4 linked regions of the Drosophila melanogaster genome follow. The protein of the gene in region 1 interacts with the protein of each later gene in a pairwise test. Each region holds a gene or a part of one and is shown on either strand. Other genes may lie near its edges.

Region 1 (9,280 bases):
TGGCGCTGCTGTCGCTCTACTCCATTGCCCTTATCGTCGGTTCCTGGGTGTGGCCCTGCGAGGAGTGCAGCCAGAACGTGATCGAAACCCAGTTGCGAATGTAAGTTTCGTATGCCACAGCAACAATAGCAGAAGCTAGAGCCTTATTTGGGTTTGCCTTAATCGAATGCTAAGCGGAATGCAATGCAAGATGGAAAAGTAGTGCTTTGTTAGTTCTTAAACAATGAATGCGTTACTTGGCCACGCAATTTTAAAGTGTATTATGAGTCATATATAACTTATATCCCTCCGTTGCAGGATTCACTCGGTTATCCTTATGCTGGTGTCGGCGCTGTTCGGCCTGTTCGTTACGGCCATCATGGTGGACCAGCTGCATGCGATTCTGTACGACGAGACGGCCGTGGAGGCGATACAGCAGAAGGGCACCTATCGTCCAAATCGGCGCAAGTACCAGCTGCTGGCGGATGTGTTCGGACGCGGACATCCGGCGCTGTGGCTGCTGCCCTGCACCAGTCTCAATCATGCCTCCCGCTACCATGATACGCCTCTACTGAGCCACGAGGTCTAGGGTCAGGAAATATTCTTTATATTTTGTCCTTGCGTTTGCTGTGCGGCTAAAAGAGCCCCCGAGTGTTTTTAGTTTTTAATCAATGTGTGTGTGATTATTTTTAAACGACCTATCCCCCTGCCCGCAGCCAGTCAAATTGAATCGTATTTCGTTTTGTGTATTATATGCAGATTCCAACTTAATTTATGCTTTAGTTTATAATGTTTTAAAATTATAAATACATAGAAAGCAGCAGCGTGGCGGCCAACAGGAGCATACTCAAAATGAACACGGCTATTTTGTAAGTAACTTTTTGCAGCTGCTTGCTTTAGAATGCCAGCGAATGTTGCGTTGATTATTTGTACACCGATGCATTCTTTGGCCACCCGGTGTATTTTTTACCAGTATCCAAGTAAGCAGCACCTTCTAGTTTGAGACGTAGAAAAATCTCAACTGTATACAATACTACATAGCAATATGTACCGAGCTAGAAACTAAGTCCTTATCAAAAGCATTTACGATATACCCGAAGAATGACGCATATACCAAAAAGGAAATAAAACGGAGATTAAACACTCAAATAGAAAATACTGTGCATCATTAGTTTGTAATAATTGTAATCACTGTTTAGTTTTGTAGTTTATTGTTCTTTTGACATTTACGACCATCGACCAGCGCACCAATAAGATTTTAAATGTAACACCAACATCAGCAGTTTGTGTCCCTAGAAACCCAGAACTGTTCCCAATAAAGCTAACCGATATGCATAAGTCAATCAATCGAGTTCGCTTCCCAGTCCCTCGACGCTCAGTGTGAGCTGTTTCAGCGCCTGTTTGGCCACAACGCACAGCACTCCCTCCTGGGAGCTCTTGTCCTCGAACTCCAGGATCTCCACACACTCCTTCAGCAGATCTATGGCGTCGACGAGGCGGGCACGCAGCTCGCCGCCCTTCAGCTTGCCGGCTATGAAGCCACTTTTGGCCAGCAGCACCAGTGGCACGTGCAGCTCGTAAAGATTCATGGCGCGTGTTCGACTCAGACCCGGTTCGAAGGTGTTCAGCACTCTCAGCACTTGGCGGCATAGCTCCGCCTTGCGCTCCAATTGGTGGTCCGGCAGTTGCACCATCTCGTAGCCCTGTACTCGCCCGTACATCTCGATGAGCAACTGCCTCAGCCCGGTGGCTATAAAGTGCAGCGGATGCAGCAGTGATTTGTACTTGCGCAACAGTCGTTCGATCTCCTCCAGCCGCTTGGCTGCCATGGGCAGCGCTTGCACGGCATTCACCTCGGATTGCAGGGATTGGAGCATCGCCAGTGCATCCGCATTGCTGGTGTCGGAGCCACAGTTCGCGCAGTTCCAACTAGTGTCCGGTTCTGCGTAGTGGATAAGGTCAGCTTATCACTTTCTAGAGGATCTTTTTCGCTCACCTGTTGGCTGCCTGGGCACTTGGAATCCCTCGGCGCACTGACCACACTTCAGGCTGGAGAAGTGCGTTCCCAATTCGGTGGGATCCAGACAGCGTTCGCATTGGCAGGTGAAGAACTTGCCCTGCTTCAGGTGCTTCTGTCTCTGGGCAGTGCCATCCAATGTGTAGGTGTAGCTGTGGTGCAGGGGCTGACCCTCCTCCAAGTCCACCATGGCGCGCAGTCGGATTCTTTGGAAGAGAAACAAATATAGGAGGACTTATTTTAGATGTGCAACAGCGGAAATGTAATTCTAGACATCTTGAACTAGAGAACTGAATTTACAAATCTATTTACAACTCACTTGTATCCCTCGCTGGGATAGATGCTCCTGGATGTGTTGGGCACGCAGTTGTGGGCCAGAATGCCGGTATAGGGAAAGAGGCACCTCAGTGGATAGCCCTTCGGGCTGCGCGCCTCGAAGGCGTTCACCTCCAGCACACCCACCACCTGCATGATCAGCTCCTCGCTGAATCGGTTGGCCAGTTGGCAGGGACCGCGCAAATACTGAGCGATATTAACGCGATCCGCATGCCAGACATCCGCGTCCCTTTGGCGCTCCTCCTTGTGGTGCTCCATGGGTGCCACCTCGTTGTCCCATCGCTCCGGATTCGCCTCCTTGGCCAACAGAACTCTGAAAGTAGAAAGTTTAAAAGGGTATTCCAAATGACAATCATATGAAGCACAACAAGTAACCTATTGATTATAATTAGCTACATTAAATTAAAAATCTTTCTCTTTTTTAATTGTTAATGAATCCTTTTGTATATAACTTTCATCTTGAGCGGATAAAATAGTGACGCTATCAGTTTGCCTGGTGCCTGGTGGTCTATTTTTGTTCCACCCGCTGGGCTTCACCTGAGCGGCATAATACAGTCCAATTGCGGACAGTGCCTGCTGCCGCTGGGCAGGCGGAAGAATCGTGCCCGAGCATCCTTCAGCTGGCTGCACTCCAGGCGGAAATGGGCGTTATCCGCTTGTTGGGCGCACTCCACGCACAGCGGCCAGCCACATTCGCTACACAGCTCCTCCTCCGGATCTGGGTTGGGTTCGTAGCAACCCAGGCACACCACCGGTCCATTGCACTTGGGCCCGACGGCAAAGGGCAGCTCCTCGATCAGCAGACCGTGGCCACGGATCGCTCCCTTGGCCACCAGATAGCGTCCGCAGACCGGACTCCACTGAACCGCTGTCCTATTCACCGACAGCGTTGGCGGCGATGTCATTTCGCTGACTGATGCCGGCTGGCCGCACTCAGATCTCAGATCTCATGTCATGGGCACACCCCACAGATGATGCCTCCTCCCCACTACATGACTACATTTCTGCCTGCTCCGACATAAAGCATCAAAATTGCTGGGCACAGTGGGCATGCGAGGTCCTAGGTGAGAAATTTTAGTTTTGAACAAATTGTCTTGAGAAAACATTGTTCAATTTCTATAATAACTAAAATACCTTACATTTTCATAAATTAAATAATTTACTGGTTGTAACTTTTAAGTTGCTTGTAACTTTTAAGTTGCTTGTAACTTTTAAGTTGCTTGGCTTTGTTAGTTCTATTTCTAAGTACTAAGCACCGATCTATTTAAACATGTGCTTAACATTATTTAAATAATAATTCACAGTGCTTACAGTTCAGTTTTGCTACGAAATATATAAAAACATGATGGTACATTGATCATAACGCGCCGCAACTATCATATACCAATTATTCTGTCATAATAATATGTACAAATATGGCTTGTTTCATGCCATAATTTTCTCCTTACTTTCATGCACTTTAAATTTAGCTATTTATTTTTTATTTTCTGTGCGATTTGCTCCACTGTCCCTTTCACAGACTTGTTAATCCATCCGTCCGCCTTCTTTGACGTAGAGTCGCCATGAGAATCTGTATATGCCGGCTAGCCTGCGAACTGCGAGAAATGGGCCGCTGCTGCCAAAACTAATATTCGGACAGACCGCCCAGGTTCCCCTAGTAGCACCCAGTAGCCCCTGCTGTACGGATGTACCCAGCACCATCACCCCCGCCCCGCTGGAGCGCCCGCGAACTAACCTCAATATGGTTATGCAATCCAACTGCGGGCAGACGCCATCATCGCTCACATTCCCGGCGAAAGTGACACGTGCGGCGGAGAAGACCTGGCACTCTCCGCGGTGCTCCGTGACGTCTTCGTCGTCGGCGCACGATCCGCACAGCGGCCAATCGCAGAGTTCGCAGCGGTCCAGCGAATCGCCGTCCTCTCCGAACTGCAGGAACTGGTAGCAGCCCAGGCACACGATTCCGCTGTCGCGCTTCGGTCCGCGTGCGAAGGGCAGCTCCTCCAGCACCAGCTCGCCCCGCTCCACGGAGCTAGAGGTGGCCAAGCAGCGTCCCAGCACGGCGTCCTCCTGCAGACGGGCCTTCAACATTCTGTCGCCGCACGGCAAATGCACTGGTCTCGCTTTTGGCCCATCCGAATGGGATTATGCGGTCGATTGGCGGCCCTGCACGCAGATTCGTCTAAAAATAAAAAGAGCATCGCACACACTTCATTGGTGTCAATCAATAAAGTTGTAATATATTTATTGCATTTTGATTGCTTTGGATTATAACTTTTTTAAAGCCCATTTACTTGTCCACAACTTTAAAGTTTTCGTTTGCAGGAAACCCTTTTATGTAAAAAAAAAACACTTTGATGTAAGTTAATTGTTCTTAAGATAACGAATTTCTTAATAGAATGATTGAATTCTAATTTCAATAATTATTTTAAGTAACCGTTAGTTTTCAAATTTCCGTTACAAAAAGTGTGACCATTGCCATTAAGAGTGACGCAGCGTTACCAGATAGTATATCTGCGGCTTGTTTTAGGGAATAATTATTGGACGAATTTTTAGGGTTGGTAACACTAAGGCACAGAATTACAAAATTTTTTGGTGTACGTTTGTCGTGGTGTCTCTGTTCCTCTGCGTTTCGCATTACACTCTAACCAAACTAAAACTCATCAAAAGTAAGTAGCTCAGGAGTAAACCCCCTCAAAATTCAGTGAAATGTGATGGATACCCCTATGGGTAGAAGGAAAATCAGGATTTTCGGTGCCAGTGATTTCATAACCTCGAAATGAAAAAATTGCAAGTAGACACGCGCATGAACGAAAAGCAAAAGGGCTGAGCACTTTTTTGTTGGATGACGATGGGCGAGCTTCTTATCACCAAATCACGCAATAATTAATTGATAAATCCGAAATTTAAAGGGGATATTAAGCCGGTTAGCTGTCACACACACATCCACACATGAACAGTCCACGCACACCAATGCCTTCGCAGTTCATTGGCAGCAGCTGCCGGCGAAAAAAGGGGGCAAAGAAGCAGAGAGATCGATGGAAAAGTGCCTGGCGAATTTCCGTTACGTAACGCATGTCGCATCAATTCCGTTCGTTATCGTCATGTTGCCATCCACCAGCGTGCAGCTCGCTCAATAAACATTTTCGATTTCACTCTTTACCGTTCTTTATCGTCGTTTTGTTTGTTTGTGGTCATGTGAGGAGGTGGGTGCACTTCGCGATTGTGGGTGGTATTTTCGCAGTGACGTCACCTGGAAAATCAATAGACCACCTTTTCGGGCAGCTATTCACTTAGCTTTCCACTTTCCCTCATCGATTTCCCTGCTGTTATGCAACTGTCGAAAAAATGAGCTGCACATCCACCCAACCACCCCCTTTATAATCTGCTTGTCAAGGTCATCGTCAACGAGATGCTGATTCATTTTCACCGGGACATCCACCTGATAGTATTATTTTCAGCATCTAGTGACCAGGTTATATCACCTGACTTCCGGAACAATAAGAGCCCATCCCATTTAACGTTTGGCTGCCGGCCATAAAGATTTTTGTCTGCTGGCCGCTGCTTTTCATAATTTTCTGCCTTGATTGCCTTGAGTTTCCCCCCACCAATCCCCCCGAACACAACATGAAATATTTATATTGTTATATCTATATAATAATTTCAATTAGATGTTTTGGGTTATTTTTGTTTGATTTTTTTTATGCTCAATATCGGATAGAAATTTATTTATCCGCGACTAATATTCCTACCGCGACTGTGAGTCGCATTCCTGACGTCACGCAAATAGAAACAGCGAAGCAGTGACCACAGCAGACGTTGCAAATGTGCAGTTAGCTTCTGAGTCAATGATCGCTAGCCTAACGGGACTGAACTGACCAGCAATTAATGCCAGCAAGAACGGAACGTAAACATAGAGAGAGGCAAACCTGTGGCCAGATAAATAGGGAAAATCTCAGTATTTTTATTAAAATTTTAGTTTAAAAAACCTATAAAAATATTTGAAAAATAAATTTTGATTTAAATGGTTTTGCATTGGTATAGAAAACCCTTAATTTCTTGGAGTAAAATAGACTTAGTCACTATTTGTTTTCTATCTTCGCTTCTATTTTTTGCGCCACTTTATTTTGCCCAGACGTGCATTGACCCCCTCCTCAGTCACTCAGAATTTTCGCTGCTTCAGTTGGTGATTCTTTGCATGTGGCCGCCTTGAACACTAATCTAAATTGATTTCTTTATTTTCGCCGCACAAAATTGACATTTAGCCAAAGTGAAAATGGGGAAAAAGCCCTCGAAATTCTTGGGACATGTTGATGCTGTTTTTTGGCGTCTTTTAGTTTTCACTTTTCATTTGCGGCCGATAGAACATTTTGAAATCAAGTCGAGCAAAAAGTAATAATCATTATGTTGCTGATAAGATTAAACTTATCGTTCGCTAAACGCAATTAATGACCTGGCGAGTGAAATGATTTCGCAATAAGTATCATCGTCATGATTATCGATTATTCACCAACTAATTGAAGGTGCGATTTAATGCATTCCATTTCAATCCATTCCAGATGGCTCCTCCATCATACAGCGATTTGGGCAAACAGGCTCGCGACATCTTCAGCAAAGGCTACAACTTTGGCCTGTGGAAGCTCGATCTGAAGACTAAGACCTCGTCGGGCATTGAGTTCAACACAGCCGGACACTCCAACCAGGAGTCTGGAAAGGTCTTCGGCTCCCTGGAGACCAAGTACAAGGTCAAGGACTACGGCCTGACCCTCACCGAGAAGTGGAACACAGACAACACGCTGTTCACCGAGGTTGCTGTCCAGGATCAGCTCCTCGAGGGTCTGAAGCTGTCCCTGGAGGGCAACTTTGCTCCTCAGTCTGGGTAAGGATCACATGTTATTACATATATGTTCACTGCAGAATAATTAATATTGCATATTTAATTAAAAATCGTCAGAAACAAGAACGGCAAGTTCAAGGTTGCCTACGGCCATGAGAACGTCAAGGCCGATTCGGATGTGAACATTGATCTGAAGGGCCCCTTGATCAATGCCTCTGCCGTGCTTGGCTACCAGGGATGGTTGGCCGGCTACCAGACCGCATTTGACACACAACAGTCCAAGCTGACCACCAACAACTTTGCCCTTGGCTACACCACCAAGGACTTTGTTCTGCACACAGCTGTGTAAGTATTGCAATTGCCACGCATGGCAAATGAAATCAATGCAAACTAATGATTGCCTTGTCCGGTGTTTAGCAACGATGGCCAGGAGTTCAGCGGCTCGATCTTCCAACGCACTTCGGACAAGCTGGATGTGGGTGTACAGCTGTCGTGGGCCAGCGGCACCAGCAACACCAAGTTCGCCATCGGCGCCAAGTATCAGCTGGATGATGATGCCAGCGTGCGCGCTAAGGTGAACAACGCCAGCCAGGTGGGTCTGGGCTACCAGCAGAAGTTGCGCGACGGAGTCACCCTGACCCTGTCCACGCTGGTCGATGGCAAGAACTTCAATGCCGGCGGCCACAAGATCGGTGTGGGTCTGGAGCTGGAGGCCTAAGTCCGTGGTTTTCCGCTAGTCGTGAAATCCTTGAACGTTGTCTAACATCCCCACACGCCCAACAACAACAACAACAACAATAACAGCAGCCAGACAAGTGCAGAAACAACAACAAGATCAAACAAAATAAAAGATACGATATTCTTTAAAAACAAACAACACACAGTCAAATATAAAGAGAATCTGCACATCTTAGCGATTCGATTGGATTGGATTAGTTGTCAGCCGGCCATCACCACATCCGCCCATTCCCTGCCCCAGCCACGCGAATCTGCAGGAGAGACACTGCCAAACAAACGATGCAGGGGGATGGATGGGTGGTGCAATCGATGGGTCGGTCAGGTCAGTCCGTCGTCGTTGGATGTAGCTTTGATTAGTGCATTGAATATTAGCGAAATTGTTGTTGACAAAAGTGCAGTAAAAATACATTTACCTATTAAACGAAAAAAAAAAACAAAATGGAAAAGACGGAATATTATGGCTCAAAAGGCATTGCATTTTTTTCAGTTCTCAAGGCTTTACGGATTGCCTGCAAAATCCTGCGGCGAAACTAGGACACACATAACACCAAAATCACATCCTTAATAACAATCTTTACCTTTTCGTTGTGCATTTACCTGAGAAATAAATCGAGAAGAAATAAATTATCTTGATTGCAGCGTTGGTGGTGGAAGGCTTGGGAATGGTTAGCTTAATTTAAGGATTTAAGCTTGAAAGAAAAAACTGTATAATAAGATAAGTACCTTATACTGATCCCAAGTTCTTTGTGCTTGAAAAACTTAACTTTTTCGGTTGGGCACAGGACTCCGTGCGTTTTAGTTCACAGGTCTCCAGCGTGTATAAAACTCGATACTGATCAGGCAGCGTTAGACATAAATTTTCGGCTAATCGAGGCTGTTGAAAAGTAGACAAAAAATTTCGAAATTAGTCGGGCCATATATACCATACCACCTATTCATACAGCCCGTAATGGCCGCCAAAACACCGACATACCCAGATCTGGGCAAGCTGGCCCGCGATCTCTTCAAGCGCGGCTACCATCCGGGCATCTGGCAGATCGACTGCAAGACCCTGACCAATTCGGGGATTGAGTTCTTCACCACCGGCTTCGCCAGCCAGGACAACAGCAAGGTGACCGGCTCGCTTCAGAGCAAGTACAAGATCGAGGACCAAGGCCTGACCCTAACCGAGCGATGGAACACGGAGAACTGGCTCTTCGGTGAGATTATGCACCGGGATAAGTTGGCACAGGGCCTGATGTTGGCCGTCGAGGCCAAGTTTCAGCCGGGATCAAAGTGCGTATTCCTTTGGGGATCGTTTAGGTAGCATCCTTTAATTATATAAACATCTCGGGTCAACAGTGAGGCGGATGGCAAGTTCAAGATGGGCTATG
Region 2 (7,358 bases), on another chromosome or scaffold:
ACCTCGGCTTTGCGTTTGGTGCCGATCAGCGGCTGATCCTCGGAGCTGGAGGAGTTGCTGTCCGGCTCGGGGACAAATGAGTTGTGCGTGAAGCTGCTGTTCGAGGAGGAGCTGTGATCAATGCGCTGACGCTTGGACTCGTGGTGGTGGTGATGATGATGGTGGGTCAGCGGAGATTCCGAGCGCCGTCCACTGTTGCGTTCGGACTTGATGTGGTGATGATGGTGGTGGTGGTGATGGTGCTTCTTCTCCTTCTTCGACTCCTTATCGTGGGTAGCCGATGAGGTGGTGGCTTGATGCGTGTCCACATCGTTTTCGGTGAAGGTGTACTCATCCTCCTCGGATTCCGGCTCCGGATCGGGTTCTTTCTCCTTCTTCTTAATGCCTCGCTTGGAGGGAGTTCCGGAGGATTTGTTCGTTTGTTCGTAGATGTCGATGAGGCGGCGATCCAGGATGTTTACCTCCGGTTCCCAGGTGTTGTAGCGCTGGTTCCAGCCCTTCCACTTGACACGGTACTCCACGACGCCCTGGAAAATCGAGTAAGTGAAGGAGTGGGGGTGGATTGCATTTTCTTAGACAACTAATTGATTTTCCATTCAGCGAAACAAAAACACGCCTCACATACACACACACACACATACGAACGCACTACGCACACACACATGCATCGTGCAAATGGTGGTTGCAGCAGCAGATGTCCTCTGGCCAAAAAATGTCGAAGGACATGTGACCTTGTGGACTATACATATATCCTGCGTGTGCTGCGCATATTGCATTTGCCATTTTTAGCGGAGCATCCCGTTTTGGTCGCCTTTTTCGAATTTGTTTACGCTCATCTCACCTTCTTAACGCGCTTTTGGATGATTTTCTCAGCCGCGTACACTAGATCGACTGGATCGTCGGTCGCATTGTCGCGCCCCAACTTCCCCTTACTCCCCTTGCCTCGACCAGTCATTTTTAATTAATAATCTTCTCGGAACGTTTTATTATTCGTTTTATTTGCAATTAACTTCTGGTTTACAATTCTGCGTACGTCGATAGTCGTCCGACTCGATTATTTTCATGTAAACAATCGATAGTGCTGCGAGGTGCAGAGTTACCGTGCTACAAAGAACTGGGATCATATCTTAGCAAGTAGCCGTGTCGCACACCCTTTCCTGGCAAAATTAGCAAAGACTCAAAACTTTGATGACTAGACACACCTAATTGTGCGTTTTTAAAATGTAAATGTTTTGTTAAAATATTTTCAGAATTTCTTGACATTTTTCTATTATTTATAAATGGGGTATATAAATGTTTTAGAAAACATTTTTTTGGCGCTGTTGCCTTATACACTATTTTCTTTTATCGTTTCTACAAATTACTAAACCGGCGAGAAGTTAAACCAATTAGCTTAAATATAAAATAGCTTTTAATCAAATTTTAATAAGCGCATTTTTAATGAATCCTTTGTACAGTATTCTTTTTAAACTGCATGTTGAATTGAATTCCAGGTAACGAAATATTATACTTTCGTTAACGTTTATCGTTGTGTTGCTTTCATCCCATATTGAGTTTTGATTTTCCTTTGTCCTGCTTCACTTATTGTATCACAAATTGCCACATATACTTCGCCCCATATTCCTATTCAATTAAGTTTGATAATTAACTTGATTACAACTGAACTAGTTACCCTCTTCGAACTCTTCAAATGCCACATCCTCAAGAGGGAGAGAAAGTGCGGGAGAGAGTGTGAGAAAGCACAAGAGCGCCGAAAGCTCAGGATGGATGTGAAAGGAAGTGGCCGACTGCAGATATTTTATGCCAGTTGTATGTTGGCCGAGGGTTCGCGTGGCGGGGGCGGCAACGACGATGACATTATTTTATTTATGCTGTGATAGTGAAATAACAACAACACCAAGACCAACAACTGAAATAACACCCATTCCCTTGAAATCAATCGCAATATTTTCGACGAGGGACGCGAAACGCATGGAGAATCTTCACACTTAACGACGAAAACGAGAAATTAACCAAAAGCTTTAACCAAAACATAAAGAAAAACACCAAGCAAATTGTTGCGAACCCTATAAATAGATTAATGTTTAATTCATAGTGAAAACAGCACCAATTAGCGCATAACCTATAAAATATTAGTCAATATGTTTAGCTAGTTACAATTTACATAGATGATATTTAATTAGTGGCTTCAAACAAAACACCAAGCAACCAAACAACCGAACAAAAAAGGGGAAAAACCAATACCTAGTTCAATTGTACGGAGCGAAAAACTAACGAATAGCGATTAGGAAAACTGGCCAACTGATAAGGCTGGCGAAAATATTAAGCTTATAGCATATAGGAAATAATAATAGCAACGGCAAACCACCCCATCTCCAGGCGAAAGCCCCGAATAGCGGATTCATTCAGAAAAACGTGCCACACAACCGGACGGGAGCGACGGACAACGGTAAATGTCAAAGTCATAAAGAGAAAACTCGGAAATGCCGATGAGAGAAAGCTCAGAGAAAACGTCAAAACTATGAGAGGCGATAAAAGCTAGCCAGTTACAGTTATATTGGGAGAAGCAATGCCAAGTGTCAAAATCGCAAAGAGAAAGTAACAAAAGAGAGACACAGCTTAACGAAAACTTCCGGTTATTTTTTAACCAGTAGATTGAGCATTACGGCCATATATTAACGCAAACAGGACAATGGAATAGCTTGTATTTATCAGTCGTTTTGCCTAAAAAAAGAGTTTATAAAAAGAAAAGAGAAAGGAACGCCGCAATAGGAGGTCATACAAATCCTCAGAAGAGGGGTCGATGATAATGTGACACAATTCTATTCAATATGCGCAAATAAAAGAGACAGTTTCGGAGTTAATTAGGGGAAAGCCTAGATAAAGCTCAGAGCAAATCCCGAATCTAAACCAATGAGAAAGTGAAAGCTCAGGATAAAAGCGTCAGCACAACTTTTGGCCAAGACACAATCCAATAAAATCGAAACCAATGGCCAGCACAGCGGTGGGACTGGGAGGCGGCGAAGGTGACCCCGGGGCGGGAGGACCGCCAGCGGGATCAGCGCATCCCGACGACGCCAGCAGCATGAGCGACGACGTCTTCGAGGATGCGGAGACCACCCAGGCCAGGATCGAGGAGCTGCGTCGCCGGCCCTTTGGCGATGGCTCCTACAATCCCCCCGCAGCGCCCGCCTCAGTTTCCGCCTCGATAACGACGACAACGACACAGCAGCAGCAACAACATCACAATCCTTCGCATCACCACCAATCCTCGCACCACCAACCATCCCACCACCATCACCACCACCACCACAGCCAGCTGAGTTTGACGGGCAGCCATCACTACCACGACGATGCTATCATGGCGCCCGTTCAGCGCTCGGCCACCGGATATCCTGGCTATCGTCCCTCCCGCGAGGCAATGCAGATGTATGCGTACGGAACGGATGACTACGACGATGACTATAACGATGGTTGGCGATCGTATCGCTACGATGAAGTGGACATGCACCCAGCCCCGTCCAACGCCCATCAGCAGCCCTTCGATGATACGGTTAACCACAAGACGATCCTGCTGGGGGATTCGGGCGTGGGAAAGACCTCCTTCCTGGTCAAATACAATACGGGCGAGTTCCGACTGGGTTCCTTTTCCGCCACAGTGGGCATTGCGCTTACGGTGAGTTTTGAATACTGCAGTACCACAGTTTGTAAGTAGAAACTACTCTAGCTCCATATGCTGTAACTCGAACCAAAGGATTACCGTTTTATAAACTACTTTCTCGGTAAAAGCAACATCAAAGCAATGCAAAGTACTTGGTAGCCTAACCCGTGAATTTAATGATATGCCAACTTAAATACAGAATGGAACTCTCGCATGTTGACAGATGTTGGTTCGAGTTGCAGAAGTTCGAGCGTGGTGCCCAAGCTGTGGAACTCACTTGGCCTTAAACTTGCGATTGTGGGCGAATCCGTAGCGCTGCCTGCTGCATGAAACCCGCACAGTAGCCTGACCCCGCCTACTTAACCAGCCGCCCCTTTCCCCGCCCATGTATTGACGCACATTCGAATGGGCTCGCTTATGTAGTAAGAGTACGTCTGTGTGCATTGGCCTGCTGTGTGTACCTAATTGGGGAGCAGTTCCTGCTTTTGGTAATATAAGTCTCCGCCTTCGGGGCACTGGGGAGTAAATAACTAATCCAAATCTCATAACAGACTGTCGTTTTTTCAAAATTTTCTCTATGGCTGTTACGCCTAAATTCGTTTAAATATTATTATTTGTAGTAGTGCCATTTACATACATATATTTCTAGTTTTCGGTACAGAGACATGTTATTACTATTCCGCAGTAAATAATAAAACTCTTTTCGCCTCCTAAACGTATTAAAAATGACAAGACCAATTGGAATCCTTTCTCGCAGTGCACCTTTTTACTCCGCTAAATAGGCAACATATTGTTCGGGTAATCGCCGGAGATTTTCTATTTTTGGCGGGCATGCTGAAATCCCCCAAATTGATTTTTTCCCGCACGGTAAATATAAATCTCTGCGTTCGACCTTTTCCACGTTGTTGTGTTGTGCTGACATTGATGGCTGTCTGTGTGTGACTGTATGTGCAGCGCGCACTCACACACTCGCGCGACCTGTTGCTGTTGCCTTTCACTTTCACTCACCGCAATCCGCACCACACACAGATACGAACTCTCCCACGCTCACCCTCACGCCCGCACACAGGCGCAATCAGAGACACAGACACAGACAGACAGCCACCGCAATGGCCGCCAGTGAAGTTCAAGTGCAACGGTTTTCAGTTGCCTCGGATGTTGCTGCTGCTGATTTTCCCCCTGCTAGCCCGCTTTTCCCCATTGCAACACTAAGCGCGTGCTCAACTTCGGGGCACAAACATTTCTCCATCAGGGTGGGACACTGGTTCAGAAAACTACTTAAAACTATTAAACTTCGGAGCATTATATACATAAGATCCATATGATTATATAGCGGTAGCATTTGTATGTTTCAGGAATTTTCATATTTCTAACTAAAAATCTTAATCATATTTATTTTCACAAAGTATCTGAAATTTTGAAATTCTCGCCCTGATATGGAATTTCGCAGTATGGTATGGAATTGGAAGTAAGAAGAATATTCTGGCAAGAATCGGAGCACCCTATTGAACAGACACCTGAGTCCTGAAACCTACCAAATCCCCTTCCCGTTCCCCGCCACCTTTAACGTTTCTAGGCCAGGGTTGCTGCTGCTGCTCCTGATTCCAAGCCAAAGCCGAAATAGCCGAAGCCACACGAACTACAACTCAAACTGAAATCGGACTGAAAGCGAAGCCGAAGGACTCGGCTGCTGCGAAGGATTGCGAGGAATTGAGACTGATGCGACGATGGTTTTCTCCTGGGCCCGCCAGTCAGTCTAGCTGTGTGTTCCGATAAGCATCGGTCGCGCATCCTTCGCATCCCTCGCAGCTTTTCCGTATTTCCCAGCCAGGTGGAAGGCTGAACCAGCTGCTCCAGCCGAAAAAACACTCGGTCGCGAGTTTCCGAGCCAAGTAGAGTGAAGTGCTGGTTTGTGTCTGACTTTCTGAGGCGCGCTCATTAAAGACTTACTACATTTTGTAAACATTTAGTAAGCACTTGCATTTAAGCAGCAGTTCTTATTTACTTTATTACTTCCTAATTTTTATCCTTTTACCATCCTGCGCGCGTGTGTGTGCAAATGGCTTGTGTGTTGTGATGTCTGGATGATTTGACAAGGTCCTGCGCGTGTTAAAAATAAATAAAAACAATTATGGTAGACTGGCTTTTGCTCGGTACTCAATAATTGAAGGGCAGCGGAAAATGGTTGTAACCAACATTCTTTTGGCTTTGGTTGCGTTGAGCGGATTTGGGAATTTCGGTTTCCTTCTAATTGATTAATCTGTTTGAAACATTCTGAAGTATAAGTTATGCCTATATATGATACTATCTTGGTTTGTTAGGCATAACAAGGAACTAGACATATAATAGATATTTGTCAATACTAACATGTTAAATATTTTCAAGGTTTGGAACTGGAAATTACTTATTAACGGTTTTGAAGCTTAAAGGGACAAACACTAATTAATTCATTACCTTACTTATGATTATTAAGATGCTAGAATGGAAATATGTATACTTTTTTAAAGACTTAACACATTGCCGCCAAACCAACATATTTTCGCAGAAAACCTTTGGTTTAAGTAAATCATTGTTGTCATTTTCGGCGAATTCTGATAATTCGGTTAATTGGAAAATTCAATTGTTTTGCAGAGTTCTCGACTCATTTGCCACTAGCTTATTGTCTAAATTAAATTGGAATTTGATAAATGCAATTAAATGTAAGCCAATTTATACCCGAACCTTATGTCTCTCACATCTTAACCAGATTCCATTGTTGTTTACTCGGACTCGGGTTTCATTCAAATGCGCATTAATTATGTGGGAGTCAATAACTGCTGATGAACACAAAAGTGCCGAGGGCCACGGTGATGATTTTCCATTGATATCAGCTTTTTTAACAACGAACTTATATTAGTGTCTAACAAGCTAGAAGCTGAGGTACATTCCTTAAGTGGCTTTTCGCTTTAAACGTTATTCATAGAGATAAATGAGCCATCGATTTTCGAAATTAAAATTAGTTTTGCCTATCTGCGACGATTTGAAAAATTTCAAAAGCGGTTGGTTGAGGAGAATAGGTCTATAAAGCCCCCAAAACTTTTCTTTCACTGCCACAGGTGTCCTCTTTCTTGTCGTTTCGAAATTTCCTGGGCCGTCCCCTTGGGGTGAAAGTCACTTGAACCGTCGTTTAAGCCGATTAGTAGCACAAATCTCCTGGGTGGTGAGTGCCCCTCCTTCAGAGGAGCCCTTTCCTTTGTCCCTCCGCTCGGAATGACCACTAATATGCACTGGAACTAAATTGTTGTGTGGCTGGCCTGGCAGTTTTATGAAACCTTCGCGCAAGCACTTCGCCTTTTGTCCTGCGAATTGGCTCACTCGCCAGTTTGAAGTTTTACTAAAAAAAAAAAGAATGCCGGGTGAGTATTCTACGGAAGTTAGCAGAATAATAGAGCTTTTTGAAAAGTCTCGATCCTATTAGCTAAACTAAACTATGAATTAACTAAATTAACTAAATGTTAATTGCAGAAACTTCATCATAAAAACCCCTTTTTAAAAGTGAGTCAGGGTTACCTAAAACGAAAACCCTTAATGAAAAGGTAAAGCCTACCATATGAAGTATATATTTTCTTGAACAGTATCAACATCCGAGTTTAAATAGTTAGGTCCATCGAACTTGTTTACTGGCTTTAAAGATATCTGCATTACATTTTTTCAAAAG
Region 3 (7,399 bases), on another chromosome or scaffold:
TTTACTTGCTGGCTAGCTGGCTGAATGGCTGGCTGGCGGACGGCAGCTTCTTCCTTTTGGGCCCTCGCTAAATAACAAGGGGGCACAGCTTGATTTGACATTAGCACAATCCCACAGATCACCTTCCCAAAATGGATTTCGCCGCCGTCGTTCTTCCCTCGATGGTCTGAACTTTTGCGCAGTCGCAGAAACGGAAATGGAGGCCCAGCGAACGCGATGATCACTGCGACCGGGCAATAAATACAGCATAGAAATGATGTACGGAAAACGATCGGAGCTGAAGCAGCTTCAGCAACAGCTCACCAGCTTCCAGCTCTCCAGCTCCACAGATCCACAGCACCCCAGCTCTTAGGTTCTTGGCCAAATCGAGAATGGCCATCCCAGACAACCCAGCCAGCATCTCAACGGGGGTGCCTGCTTGACTGGCTGAGTGGCTGGGCGATGGCGTTGCTGTGGCCTAGGAAAATTGGCACAGTGGTACCATCACAATGCATAATGGATAGGCCCTTTATTCAAATCGCTGCCTCAATGGGCAATTAGTTACAAATAAAATGGCACTGCCACTGGAAGTCTGAAGTGTTCAGTTGCGGTTCTATTAGTGCACACTTTGTTTTGCTAATATAATAAATACAATTAAAACCAAACATTAAATACTGCAGCGATTTTTTATTGTCCAATTAGTTTTAGAATATATTTCATTCTTAATTCTTTTGGGACTGTGCTAACCATCCAAATTAGCAAACTAATATGATGTTCCAAATATATGAGATAATTTTATTTTACACATTTATTTCGATGAAGTATTTTTATCCATTCTGAGCATCGACACCCACGGTTGCTGCCCAGGGTCTGGCAGCTGCCTAGATGCGGATGCTCGGGGCATCTCCTCCTGCTGCCTGCCACCGATCCCGATTCCGATCCCGCTCCTGCCGCTCGTTTGGGCTACCACTTTGCGTCTGGAAACGCTGCCGCGGATTCCGATTCCGATTCCGCTGCTCTTGCTGGCGCGGCATTATTAATGATAAATGTGGCTTGCACTCATGATAAATACAGAGAATCGTTGAAAGGTATAAATCAATAATAGAGAAGTTTGTTTGCAGTTAGGCAGGCGCAGGATGGAGCCGTGATTTTCAGCCAGCAGACAATGAGTTTGTCCGGGCATAATTCACCCGGGAGCAAAAGGTCTTCGTGTGGAAGCTGGCCAAGGGATCTGATTAGCGGATCGGCCCAGGAGGAGACCGCAACTGCAATTGGATGTGGCTTTCGATGCGGCTGTCCCTCGAGTTGGATGCTCCACAAAATCATGTTCATTAATTGACTAATTAATCGGCATCGGCTGTGAGGCAACAAAAACTAAGACATAACAGCCAATGCGATTATCAATAACAATTAGCCGACGCCTCTCCGCCGGTCTGTCAAATATAACGTGGCCCCTGTCTTGGCCCTCCTTTCAACTTGGCTAGTTGCATTTGAATGCACAAGTTACGCATCCATCAAATGTCAATTGTTTGTCTTGGCTTGGCGCTCCGTCTTCGGAGACGGAGAAACGGCGCATTTCTCATAAATCATTCGAAAGGCTCTCTGGCGGGCAATGTATCGCGGCATCGTCATCCCAGAATCGAATCCCTGACTCGTCGACGACGTCTTCTGCCTGTCAGAGGAGTCGTGGTCGATATGAAGAAGGAGCTGGGGGAGCAGGAGGAGGTGGGCCTGGCCCACTCGGATGCCCATCCAAGGCATCGAACTTGTCTAGCCCATCTGAGTGTCGGCCCTGTCCATCTTGAATTAGTTGAGCAGTCGCAAGACATTAGGTGGAGCGAATGGCTGAAGATGGCTAACTATATTAAGTTTGACTTTTAATGCATATTTTCTAAGCGTTTACTTCTCAAGGAATTGCTAAAGGCCTGATTGAATTTATTTATGATTTATTTTAAGAATTTCCAGCTGCTAGGCCACAGATGGAGATGAAAACGCTTTTTAAATTTAATGTTCAAGTTTTACCATCCTACTAAACATAAAGTTAAGATAAAAATGGTCATTTTAGATGTTATATTTGTTAGGTACTAGCGAATAGGTTTTAAATAGGGAACAGTTTCTACTTGTGTTTTCTTTGACATCATCTTCAGTTAAAATGAATGATATAATGTAAAAGAGAGAACAAAATTGCAGGCTGCATCATTCCCATTAAAATGTCCATTTGCAGTATTCACCCGCCATAATTTCTTTTGATAAAACACCTAATGATATAAAGTTTAATTACTGATAAAAGCAAGAACTAAGTGCTTTTTTCACCATTTATCTGCCATGATTTCACTGGCCTTTGGAGCACATTTTTTGTGCTGGTTAAGTTTTAAGTAGAGTCCAAACCTCGACCCGCCTGTAACTTTGACTGCACACGCATCGCCCCTCGCTGCTCGCCGCTTTCTCCACAGAATTTTCCACGGACACTCACCTGACGGAGCCGGCAAACTTTTGCATAATAAAGCAGGTGCTTTTCCTCCCCCAAAAGGGATCAGACCAGACCAGACCAGTCTGACCTCGCCACCTGAGTCACCATCACCATCGCCTTCGCCTTCGCCATCTGCACGAACTGTTAATGTGCTGGCGATTTTAGTTATGGCCAGTGGCCAACGCCAGTTGGGAGTTGGGACCTGACCAGCTGGGCAGAGTGTCCTTTGTCCCGTTGATAATTTAAAGCCAACGACCTGGACCTGGCCGGGATTAAACCAACTGAATGGCAACTGTTTTCTGCTCAAATCACAGAGAAAATAAATTGGGGATTTCGTACTTACAGAATGCAATTTCGAGCTTGCCAAGCTGGATTAGGTTACAAATTTCAAATGCAAGTTGTATGTAATTTGTTGATTTTACGGTTGTAACCTAACAAAAAACAGTGTGCAGAGACCAAGCAGCAACAAATAGGCACACCATTTTTTCCTCCGTGTAGGATGGCACACTCCTACCCACTTTTAACACTCACCAATCTCTTCCGATTCCGCTCTTTTGGCCATCTGAATATTCATTTCAATTGTGCGAACTGCATCGGCGGTGAAAGAAAAGCCTGCACCATTCCAGCGGCAACGGCTTATGGCACTTTCTTTGGGCCAAAAGAGTGGATTCGTTGATGCCCCGATGTTATGCTGCATATCGATGGTGCGGTGCTGGTGCTGGTGCTAGTGCTCCTAGCTGCTGGTGGTGCCGCCCGGTGGGGGACGACGACCCACATAAATCATTCACAATTAGATGCGGACGCAACTGCGGCAGCGGCTTAAACACCTGACCGACTTGCTCCCGAAAAGACTCCAAGCCGAGTGATTTTCCGCCCGAGTTCCACTCGAGTGGCCAGCTCAAGTGTTGAGTGAGTTTTCGGGGGCATTGAGTGTGCCGGTTCCATGGCGTTCCGCCCATGTTCCACGGACCTCGACGGACCTGTTCCCAGTGCGTGCCGTTCAGTTTGTACTTGAGACCGGTTCGAAACGTTGCCAGCCGAAAAGTCAGCGGGCCGCGGACGACGATATCCCCACAAAAAACCAAACCAGAACCAAAAACAGCTCGCAACATTGGCAACATAGCAACCCCCCATCAGCAACATTGGTTTTTTCGTCTTTTGAGTTTCAGTTCAGGGTACCACTATATGATTTGATATGATACATAAACCCCGATTGTTAAGTGATTTTGTGCGGTGATCAATGTGTGCGATCGGCAGTTTGGCAGAATCCCCAAGAATGCCGCGTTAATTGAGCTGTACGTACAGCTATAGTACAAATTTGCATAACCAGTGAGGAGGCATAAACAAATCTGGCCGCCGAGCGGAGGAGCGTCTTGGTTCACTGATTTAATGCCACAAACAGATTGCAGATTGTAGCCCGCAGCCGCGCCCCTGCAACTTGCAACTTCTTTGGCTGCAACTTGTGCAGCAGGCAGCAACCAGCTAGCAGCGACCACCTTCACCTCCACCTCGAACTCCTTGCTGCATCTTGGACTCGGTTTGGTCTTGGTCAACCTGCTTGCAAGCTTGTTTCTGCGGAAGAGCTGCCGCCGGAGCGCCAGACCCGGCAAAAAAAAAAACAAATACAAAAAAAAAACAAAACAAAAAAAAAACAAATCTAAAAAAAGTAAGGAAAAACACATACAGAACAACACGGCTGCCGTTGTCGTCGTCTTTGGAATTTTCTTTAAAAACAACGCGCTAAGATTTGCAACGCGGACCCAGGCAAAAAGTGTAAAAGGCAAGCAAATGCATCCGCGGAATAAAAAAATTAGCGCATAGTGAAGCGTGTCCCAGTGTGTGTGTGTGTGTCGTCCATTGTACATGAGTGTGTGTTCTAAACGCCGAGTGTGCGAATAAAAAAGCTGCCCAACTGAGAGAAAAAAAGTTTGAAAAGTGTCAAGCGAGCGGCTCGGTGGCGGCCAATAACCCAACGACTGGCATGCAATTGCAGCCAGGCGACCCCGACGGGTTAATTACCGTTATCCTTGCAACACAGCAACAACTAAAACAACAACGAGCCACACTAAACGGTGCTCAAGTTGTGGATTACGTCTCCGCCGCGTTGTCGCCGTGTGAAAAGGACAACAGGAACACAGCATCTGCAACATTGGCCATAAAAAGCGCATTGAGCACACGGCAAAGTCAAGTGAACATTCCAATTGGCAACGTAACGGGCTAATTGGCACACACAAACACATCGCTGCACATGAAAACGAGGTGAGTTTCAAGAATTCTGCATTTCCTTCATCCAATTGCCTGCTAAGCTTGTTTCGATTGCCTTCCATTCCTAGAATGATTTATGAAAGAATGTATTGGCAAGACAGGCAAGATACGGCTAAATACTTATGACAAACTAAATAGATCGGTTTTTACAGGGCTTTATTGTTATGAATCTTTTTTTCCCGTGAAATGCCAAATTAGTTGCTGCCTGAATAAACGCTATCGATTTCATACTCGAAATTACTATAATTTGTAACAAGTTATTAACTTTTAACTTTAGTTAGTAACTATTAACTTCAAAGTATTTAAAAGAATTTTATATTAGTCTGTGATATTTTAATATATTGAACGTATATTGATTAATTTTCAATTAACACCTTTAACTTTATTTCCTTCCCAATTACTTTTGAAGGATGTTTTAATCGTGATGATGGTCATGGAGATCGTTTTCAAACTGCTCATGAATAGGTCCTTGAAATAATTTTATACCATGAAATATATCTGCTTTTGACATTTTGGGCTTTCTTGTAACCGTTTGCACTTTGGAGTTAACAATGTTTTTTTCACCGGCCTTCAATTGCTTACTTTCGCTCATAACGACGATATTATTTCCTAGATCTGGCAATCGAGGAGATGAACCAATCGTTTTTTTGCCAAGGAAAGTCTCTTGAAAGAATCCAGGTCCTGGTACATACGTATTTCCCTCCGCTTCCGTAAGTCCCGATGTGGAGGTGTTTACCGTTATAGCTCCATCGTTAAGTATAATGCTATTGGCACTGTCATCTTTCTGATAAGCTAAAACGCTGGCGCAAAGGATAGACAATAGTCGCAGTATCCAAACCATAGTCCGTGGAGATTCGTTTAATATAAGCTGAGAAATCTGCCTTTATCATTACAAGTCGTTTGTGGCTAACAGAAATGTAAGGCTTTGACATTTAGCATGAAATCGGTTTGATTCACATTTCGCATTAATTTACATGGTTATACCATGTGTTAAATGGTTATATACTTGTTTCAAAACTCCAACAGAAGTTTGCATTAATCCCGAGCAAATTACTGGATATACTTATAGCTACTAGATCCTTTATATATATTGGTGTAATATTTCTTAAGCTTAAGCCCGGCTTCGTCTCGAGTAAGTCAACGAGTTTTCTTTTGATCTCTGGTTCGGTGCGACTTAAAAGCGGGCCAAGCTGTAGGCCAATTCCAGGGAAGTCCACTCCATCAGGCTGAAGCCCATCGAGTTTTCCATCGAGTTTTACTGCAGATACATTTGTGACGGGCCACTTGGAGCTGCTCGGCTTCGATTCTTGTATCTCTCAATTTCCATTAGACCCAGAGCGGGTTCTCGTTCTCTTGTGTTTCTACGCTTTTGGTTCTGAAGTGAATTTATGTCGAGCCGCTAAACAATTGATGCTGAAAAATGATGGCAATGACAAAGTGATTACGGCCAGCAGTGGAAAGCGACGCGAGATGCCAGCAATCGAAGTTCAAGTTGAAAAATAACATTTTCAATTTCCAATTGTGGGGTTCATAGTGAGCCAGAGCTGCCTCGGTGGAAAAGTGAAAATGAAATGCTTTGCTAGCAGACAAAAGCGGTTCATCATTAATCATTTAGTTTGTTGTTTTTACAGCGCAACCGAAAGTATACCTATTTATACGTACATAATCGGCACTTCTTCTTCGTTTGGGGCACGTTCTCGATTTGAATCTTTTCCTCCATACGCCGTCCCATTTTTTTCCTTTTTTCATCCCGTGTTTGTTTCGTCTCTGAGTATTTGGCTTTGGTAAATTGCTCATCGTCATGCTTTTATGATTTGGTATATTATTTTTGAGAATTTGATGCGCTCAACTTGATAAGCCCAAAGCGCCCAGTGCTGTTCTCCTGCGCCCCCTTTCCCAACCCCTCACCCACCTGCATTCCTGGCTTATTGTTGTGCCCCTCGGTGTATGTGTATATACTGGTGTATAGGTGTGTCTGTCCACATCACCCAGCCCAAAAGTTCAGAATTTTTTAACAGTATCCGGAGAACAGATTTTTTCGATCTCCCTCCAGAGAGTTGCAAAATGTTTAAAGTTTTAATAACAAGCGCGGAACGAAATTTGTTTAGGTGTGTCTTTGTTAAAATACTCTATATTTGATTTATACCAACATGGAAAATACACTACCAGCAATAATATTACAATTGAAATGGTACATAAACATATCAAGTACCTTCTTAAAGTGTACAAATATAAATATGATGCTGTACCCAAATTGCATAACAACAGATTTAATTAAAGTAAGCCCATGCTGAATGAAAACCTAAAGCAGAAACAACCCAACTCCATTTAGTGTATCTGCAAAGCCAACCTGCAAATAAACTTTGCAAACTTTACGAAATGCTTGCACATCAAACTTTTATTTACCAGCTTCGAGAGCAGTACAGCGAAGCCCCCCGATAACGACCCAGCTTGGCCCACCCTCGTTGCAATAATTTCATTTCGTTGTACAGTTTATTATATAATTTTTGTCCCTCTTTGACTTTTATCTTACGTTTATTATGCCCCATGGAATTTGCCGATTTCCAGACGCTGTCCAACAACCCGCTGGAGGTCAATGTCTCCGCCCAACCACCACCCACTCACAGAGAACTCGAAGACGAGGCAGCACATCCCTAGGATACATCCTGCCCCGGTGGCATCTTT
Region 4 (5,823 bases), about 10 Mb from region 1:
TCTGTGTATGTATAAATCGATTCTAAGTAATAATTTGTTTAGGTTGTGTTATCATATGGGTGTTGTAGCTTAAAAGATCCTCCTCCTCCTCCAAAGCTCAGGCCTGTTGCCTAGCCTCGTTGGCCTCGTAGGCCTCCACCTCGGCGATGTTGGCCAGGTCGTACTCGATGACGCCCTTGCCCATGAACTCGGCGTACTTGGCTGACTCCGGCAGCGGATCAGCCGATCTCTTCGAGACTGTAATGGGTCGAGGAATGGGAATGGATCAGTAAGTTGCTGGCACCTGTAAGACATTGCTACTCACCGCCTGAGACGAACTTCTCCATCATGTAGACCTTCATATCGAAGCACTCGTTGGCAATCCGCTCCGAGATGAGCGAGACATCGGTGATGCGGGGCATGACCACACGCATCTGGCGCCGCACGCGCTCCGTATCTATGTTGTAGTAGCCAGTGCTCATCTTCTTTATGAGATCCACAAAGCTGGTCGGGGGCAGGGTCGTGTCCCGATCCAAGGGCATGATGAAGCACCGTCCGGTGGTAGTGTCGATAATGGCCGACTGGTTCTCCTTGAAGTCGTGCATGAAGCGACCACGACGTCCATCCTTGAAGTCGGGCACGTCCACGCGTGCGTAGCCCTCGTCATCGCTGTCACCGTCCAGTTCGATGTCCTCGCGGAAGTGGCTCTCGTCCAGCGATCCACTGTTGGGCATCGGTTGCGCGAGCTCGGGTAGCAAGGAGCGCCAGTTCAGGGCGAACGGTTCCACGGTGCGCGGATATACCCGCGCCATCTCCATCGAGTCCTCCGGATAGGGGATCTCGCACAGGGCGTGGTAGCGCATGCTGCTATGCGACGGAGCGTACACTCGGTACAGGGTCCATCCGCCCAGGACACCCAGGAGCATCACGACTACGGCGATCAGGAACAGCAGAAAGGATTTGATGCAATGGTGCTGCGGCCGGTTGAAGACCATGGATTCCGCGTCGGCTTCATTATCGCTGTAAGCAACCTTGGGCTGTGTGTGGAAAATGGGGGGTTTTAAAAATATGGGATACTCCTCTAAGTGTCACTTGCAATTTTGTAGGAACAACAAATTGCAATGGAAAAGTAGCAGTTTTATATACAATCTAAAGTTATCTAAAATGACCGACTTGTTATATCTGTTTCCTTATCACCCATTGTTCCAGTGGAAAGTCATAAAAACGACGATAAGTCGTAGAAAAATACAAATAGAAGGCAGTTGACTGTAATGTTGATAGTGGAAGTTCCACAAGTCGAAAGGTTTGAGCTTGCTGAATATTAATCACACATTTATATTTTCCGCCAGCTCAGCAAGATAATTTTTCACTGCAATGCCTTCTCTTGTTCTATAAACAATGCAATTGCATTGCTAAGTCAAAATTGTTTCGAAAGATACGTCGTTAGCGAGAGATTAGTCTAAGGAGGGGTCAGAAGAGATCCCCTTGCAAAAAATTAATCAATTGAAGGCATTTGCATGCACTAGAGTGGACCTTATTCGACTATGTAGTGCATAACTCATATGTAAATGTATGATTGTATATAAATCTCTGGAAAATTAGTGATATCTACACTAAATAAATAAACTGCAGATGGGCAAATATGCTGGGAGATGGGAGATGGGAGCTGGCAGCTGGGAATGATTGTGCTTATGACCAGCAAGCTGATAAGACACGACTTTCTCTGGATACCCGTGCACACGAATCGAGGTCAAAGTGCACAGTGTCAGCAGCTCACAAAGGGCTGCAACTGGCACCGTAAGTGGCTTTCCCCAGCCGTCAGGGCCAATCTCCACCAGCAACAGGAAAACCCTTCGCGCTGACCTCGGGGAGCGAGCGAGCGAGTCCTTGGCGCGGAAAGCCCAGGAAAGTGAATGGGCACACGTCACTTGGAGTGGAGCAGGGGTTGCATGCGGGCAGGGGGGTAAGGGGAAGCACGGGCCACAAGGACACCAAGGAGTGCGGAGCTTGGTCGGGGAAAAATCGATGGCGAGCTGCTGCTGCTGAGGCTGTAATTCGGAATGGATTCCGAATCGGAATCAGCACCAACCACCCACCCATCACGAGACTTGTGGCTCTCGGGCCGCAGGACGAAGGACACGGTGGCGGGCAGGGCGCGAGGGATGGACAAGGACATAGCACGATTGCGCAAAAATAAGGACACATCCCGCAGATGCGATGCCAAGCAAAACTCACTGCGATTAGGGAGCCATGGTGCATGAGCGCCTCGTCGTTGAGGTTCATGGGCAGGGGCACCTTCTCCTGGTCCGTGGGCTGTCCCCGCAGTTTTCCCAGAATTGTCATGGCTGCTCGTATGCTGTGTTCTTGATGCCTCCGCACGACCAACTTGTTTGTTTTTACTGAAAATTTAGTGCGCAATTGTTGACGAGCTGAAATCTCGATCCAGACAAGCCAGTGTGACCAGTTCTAATTCGCCTTTCAAAAGATGTGGACAAAAGTGAGGCAACTCTAGAGTGGTTGCAAACTTGGAAAAGACGATTCGCCGCCCAAAAATTCGAAACTTGAATCCGAAAAAAAATTGTGAGGCACAAATTGTTATCTTACAAACGAAAAAACATGATACATTTATATTTTTGGAGAAAACCCAAAACATACAACTAAACTCCCTTCCAAAACGAATTGCTTACTTGTATCTTATGGAAGTTTATTTCGCTGATAACACAATACGTTCTACTGGCAGTTCTAGGGACTTTTTTCAAAAATGCAAATGAGTTTCTTAACATACACTTTAAACACAGAATGATTGAAACGTTCGCCTGCGGAAGTTGGGAACCTACGACCTCTGGACTACACAGCGGACTATGCAGACCGCTTTCGACCTTTATTTCTGCACTCTTACAGTCTAATCATACAGAGCAGAGCGTCCTACTTATGACTATGTTGGTTAGAGAGGAAGGCGAGGTGACCCTTGGGACACTTGTTCGCGTAGTGGCCCTTGTTCCCGCACTTGTAGCAGGTGATCTCCTCCAGGGGCGTGGGCACCTTGACGAAGCCGGGACCATGCGGCTGACTGTGGTGATTGGATTGCATGTCATCGGCACCCTCGATGTGGCCGGAGTGTCCAGAGTAGCCGCCCGAGTGTCCGCCGGAGTGATCCATTGCGTTGATATTGTTGCGATGCTCCAGGCTGCCCACATACTGCTTGCACGAGTTGGCCTTGTGGCCCAGCTCGCCGCAATAGTGGCACGTGGGCAGTTTCTTGTGCAGCTGATCCTTACCCAGTTCCGCCAGCGGGGGCAGCTCGAAGTGCGGATGCATGTGCTTGCAGGACGGGCCCTCGGGGCAGAAGCCGGCTAGGTAGTCCATGCACAGGACACGGCGCAGATGCTGGTGCCGGCAGTGGGGACCGTGGCGGCAGAAGCCTCTCTTGTACCACGGACAATCCTTCACCTTGCTCTGCGGGTCGATGTGCAAAAAGGGACACTCTTTGTTGTGGCAGGCGTTGAACCTCGAGTAGAAGTAGCACTCGGGCATCTTGGTCATGTCGTACTCGTGCAGGAACTCGCACTGGTCGCCCTTCTTGCACAGTCCTCTCAGCCAGTGCTTGCACACGATCGTCCGGTCCCCGCGAATGTGTCGGAAGGGACAGGCGCTCCCTTTGTCGCACTCCTGTCCGTTCCTGGTGATGAAGTTGCAGACCGCCGCAATGGACTTGTCCATGCCGTAGAACGGCAGCGGGATGGCACCCACCTGCTCGATGAGGTCCCGCTCCGCCTTGAACTGCAGCCCACTTACGTTGGCCAAAAGGATGTCCATCTCTGACGGATTCGCGGATGCTCGGATAGATGAGGAAAAACTCCGAAATCTGGTAAACAATGCAGTTTCCTTCTTCTTTTTTTGCGCGTGTTTGTTGTTTCAGTGCGAATAGTGCTGACACGCAACCGGCGTTATCGATATCGATAGTTCGCAAGGCAAGACAGTCATGGCCGTCTAGCTGTTTATTAGCCAAATCTGTCCACTTCAGGGAATAGATATTTGTATATAAATATTTTTAGTCTCCAAATGTTTTTAATTTATAAGATTAGTCATAGTAAGAAAATACTTGTTTTTATGACCTTATTTAACTAAACCGCCATTAATAACATTTTAGCTATTTAGCTACAAAAGTAAGTTGATATTGGTCAGCACTGTTGGCGACTAAAGTATTACATAGAAATTAAGTATCCGCCCCGTTAGTGTTGCTGATAAAAGGGCTTATCTACAATGAACGAGCCAGTTTCAAAAATTTCACTTACACAAGAGCAACACTTGAATTGCTTCGAAATTTAAACATTAAACACTGAGTAAATTCGATAATGAACCACCCCCGCCGCCAGAGGCCGATAGTCAGCTGGTATCGATCACTTGTTTACAACTTTTCGCAATGTTTATAACGTAAGCAATCTGCGTGAAAAGCCATTAGTTAATTTGGGAGCGAGGAACTGAAAAATGAGGAGCGAGCGCCGCTGAAGAACCCAACCCGACCAACACCCCACGTAGTCCACCCACTCCAAAGGTCAAATGCTGCCTACTTACGAGCGCTTCAGTGATCCCAAAAGCGTCCTCTTCCGGCTTCCCTTTGCGCGACTGGCACTGGTGGCTCTTAGTTTGCCCCTGGGAGGCTTCTTCTTCTGCGTGATTTGGTCTCTGACCTTTGACTTCGTTAGGAGCACCTACACCCACTGCGATGTGACCAACTATCTGCCCTCCGTCTCGGCGGCCATTGGGAACTATGAGCCCCAAAAAACCGTCTGGAGACTGGCCATATTTCTGCATTTACCACTCCGTTTGGCAGTTGCCAAAATCTACTTGGAGCACTATCGGGAACACATCCGCCGGAGCAGAAGATTGCTGGGCATCCTGGCCTGCTTCTTGAACGTCGTGGAGGATCTGGCCCTCTTCTGCTTGTCGTTTTGGACCTCTGCGGATCATTACGAGACCCACAGAAACGCATTTGTGGTGTTCATTGCGTGTTCCGAGTGCTATATGCTGGTTTCCTACCTGCTGAACAGGAATATACAGAAGACCGTGCTCTTGCCGCACGAGGAGAAGTCGCTGAGGTACAAGAGAAATCTGTTCTTGGTGAATGTGATCGCCTTTGGCTTGGCAGGATACTGCTTCGTGAGGCACAACTCGCATTGCGAGGCGGGAGGTGAGTGGGAATCGGTTGTGAGTCCACTATTGTCTTATAATGAATCTTTTCTATCCACAGTCTATACTTTCTTCGCGTTGTTCGAGTACATCGTGGTGCTGACCAACATGGGGTTCCACATGACCTCCTACTGGGACTTCTACGCCCTGAATGTGGTGTGTGATGCCAAGCACGGTCTCTACCTATCACAATCGTAGACCAATGAACTAGATCAAACCCAGCCTGCGCCGCCATTTCAGCCAGCCAGTCGTCCTCGAGTATTGTGTACATACGCGGTATTAGCTTAAGCTCAATGTTTACTTAATTTTACCAAAAGGAAATTGCTTACGAGGGATTCCGAGAGGAGACGATTCAGTATGACAGGATCTGATGCATACACACGCTTTTAGCTTTAGGCTCTAACACGATTTTACACCTAAAGGATCTAGTTAAATTCGAACCGAGTTCCATCATTATGTAGTGCATTATTTATACACATACTCATTTAGGAACAAGGCTTCAATAAGGTTTTATTTTATACGTACTGAATTTGCTTTTATTGGCTTCTAATGTTCTAATTCATTATTTTGTAAGTCTAAAATTGTATTTATTAGAATTCAGATAAATTAACTTTTTAATTGCTTCCAATTGTTTGGTGTACTTTTAATCAACTC

What was found.
Region 2: the proteins of SmydA-3 (region 1) and Rab26 interact in a two-hybrid assay, tested with the Drosophila melanogaster proteins (one large-scale study listed by BioGRID).
Region 3: the proteins of SmydA-3 (region 1) and CG13300 interact in a two-hybrid assay, tested with the Drosophila melanogaster proteins (one large-scale study listed by BioGRID).
Region 4: the proteins of SmydA-3 (region 1) and Clp interact in a two-hybrid assay, tested with the Drosophila melanogaster proteins (one large-scale study listed by BioGRID).

The regions. Positions count from the first base shown.
Region 1 is NT_033779.5:10,846,475-10,855,754, reverse strand, and holds SmydA-3 (SET and MYND domain containing, arthropod-specific, member 3), read right to left. Parts: upstream 5,615-9,280; 5' UTR 5,496-5,614; exon of another isoform or gene 4,907-5,495; intron 4,515-4,906; 5' UTR 4,424-4,514; coding exon of another isoform or gene 4,068-4,423; intron 3,393-4,067; 5' UTR 3,238-3,392; coding exon 2,870-3,237; intron 2,646-2,869; coding exon 2,316-2,645; intron 2,203-2,315; coding exon 1,976-2,202; intron 1,922-1,975; coding exon 1,323-1,921; 3' UTR 1,151-1,322; downstream 1-1,150. Other genes in the region: Dnz1 (DNZDHHC/NEW1 zinc finger protein 11), read left to right, coding at 1-100, 298-568; porin, read left to right, coding at 6,892-7,211, 7,287-7,514, 7,587-7,887; Porin2, read left to right, coding at 8,857-9,182, 9,249-9,280.
Region 2 is NT_037436.4:21,316,956-21,324,313, forward strand, and holds the start of Rab26 (Rab26), read left to right. Parts: upstream 1-1,818; 5' UTR 1,819-2,989; coding exon of another isoform or gene 2,990-3,676; intron 3,677-5,425; exon of another isoform or gene 5,426-5,630; intron 5,631-7,358. Other genes in the region: Pc (polycomb), read right to left, coding at 1-527, 842-955. UniProt on the Drosophila melanogaster protein: Participates in exocrine secretion.
Region 3 is NT_037436.4:6,348,466-6,355,864, reverse strand, and holds the start of CG13300 (uncharacterized protein), read left to right. Parts: upstream 1-3,474; 5' UTR 3,475-4,708; intron 4,709-5,035; exon of another isoform or gene 5,036-5,129; coding exon of another isoform or gene 5,130-5,555; exon of another isoform or gene 5,556-5,589; intron 5,590-7,399. Other genes in the region: Sfp65A (seminal fluid protein 65A), read right to left, coding at 5,130-5,555.
Region 4 is NT_033779.5:818,051-823,873, reverse strand, and holds Clp (clipper), read right to left. Parts: upstream 3,911-5,823; 5' UTR 3,796-3,910; coding exon 2,905-3,795; 3' UTR 2,665-2,904; downstream 1-2,664. Other genes in the region: CG3662 (uncharacterized protein), read right to left, coding at 98-237, 305-1,016, 2,215-2,322; PGAP2 (Post-GPI attachment to proteins 2), read left to right, coding at 4,540-5,170, 5,231-5,367. UniProt on the Drosophila melanogaster protein: Component of the cleavage and polyadenylation specificity factor (CPSF) complex that plays a key role in pre-mRNA 3'-end formation, recognizing the AAUAAA signal sequence and interacting with poly(A) polymerase and other factors to bring about cleavage and poly(A) addition.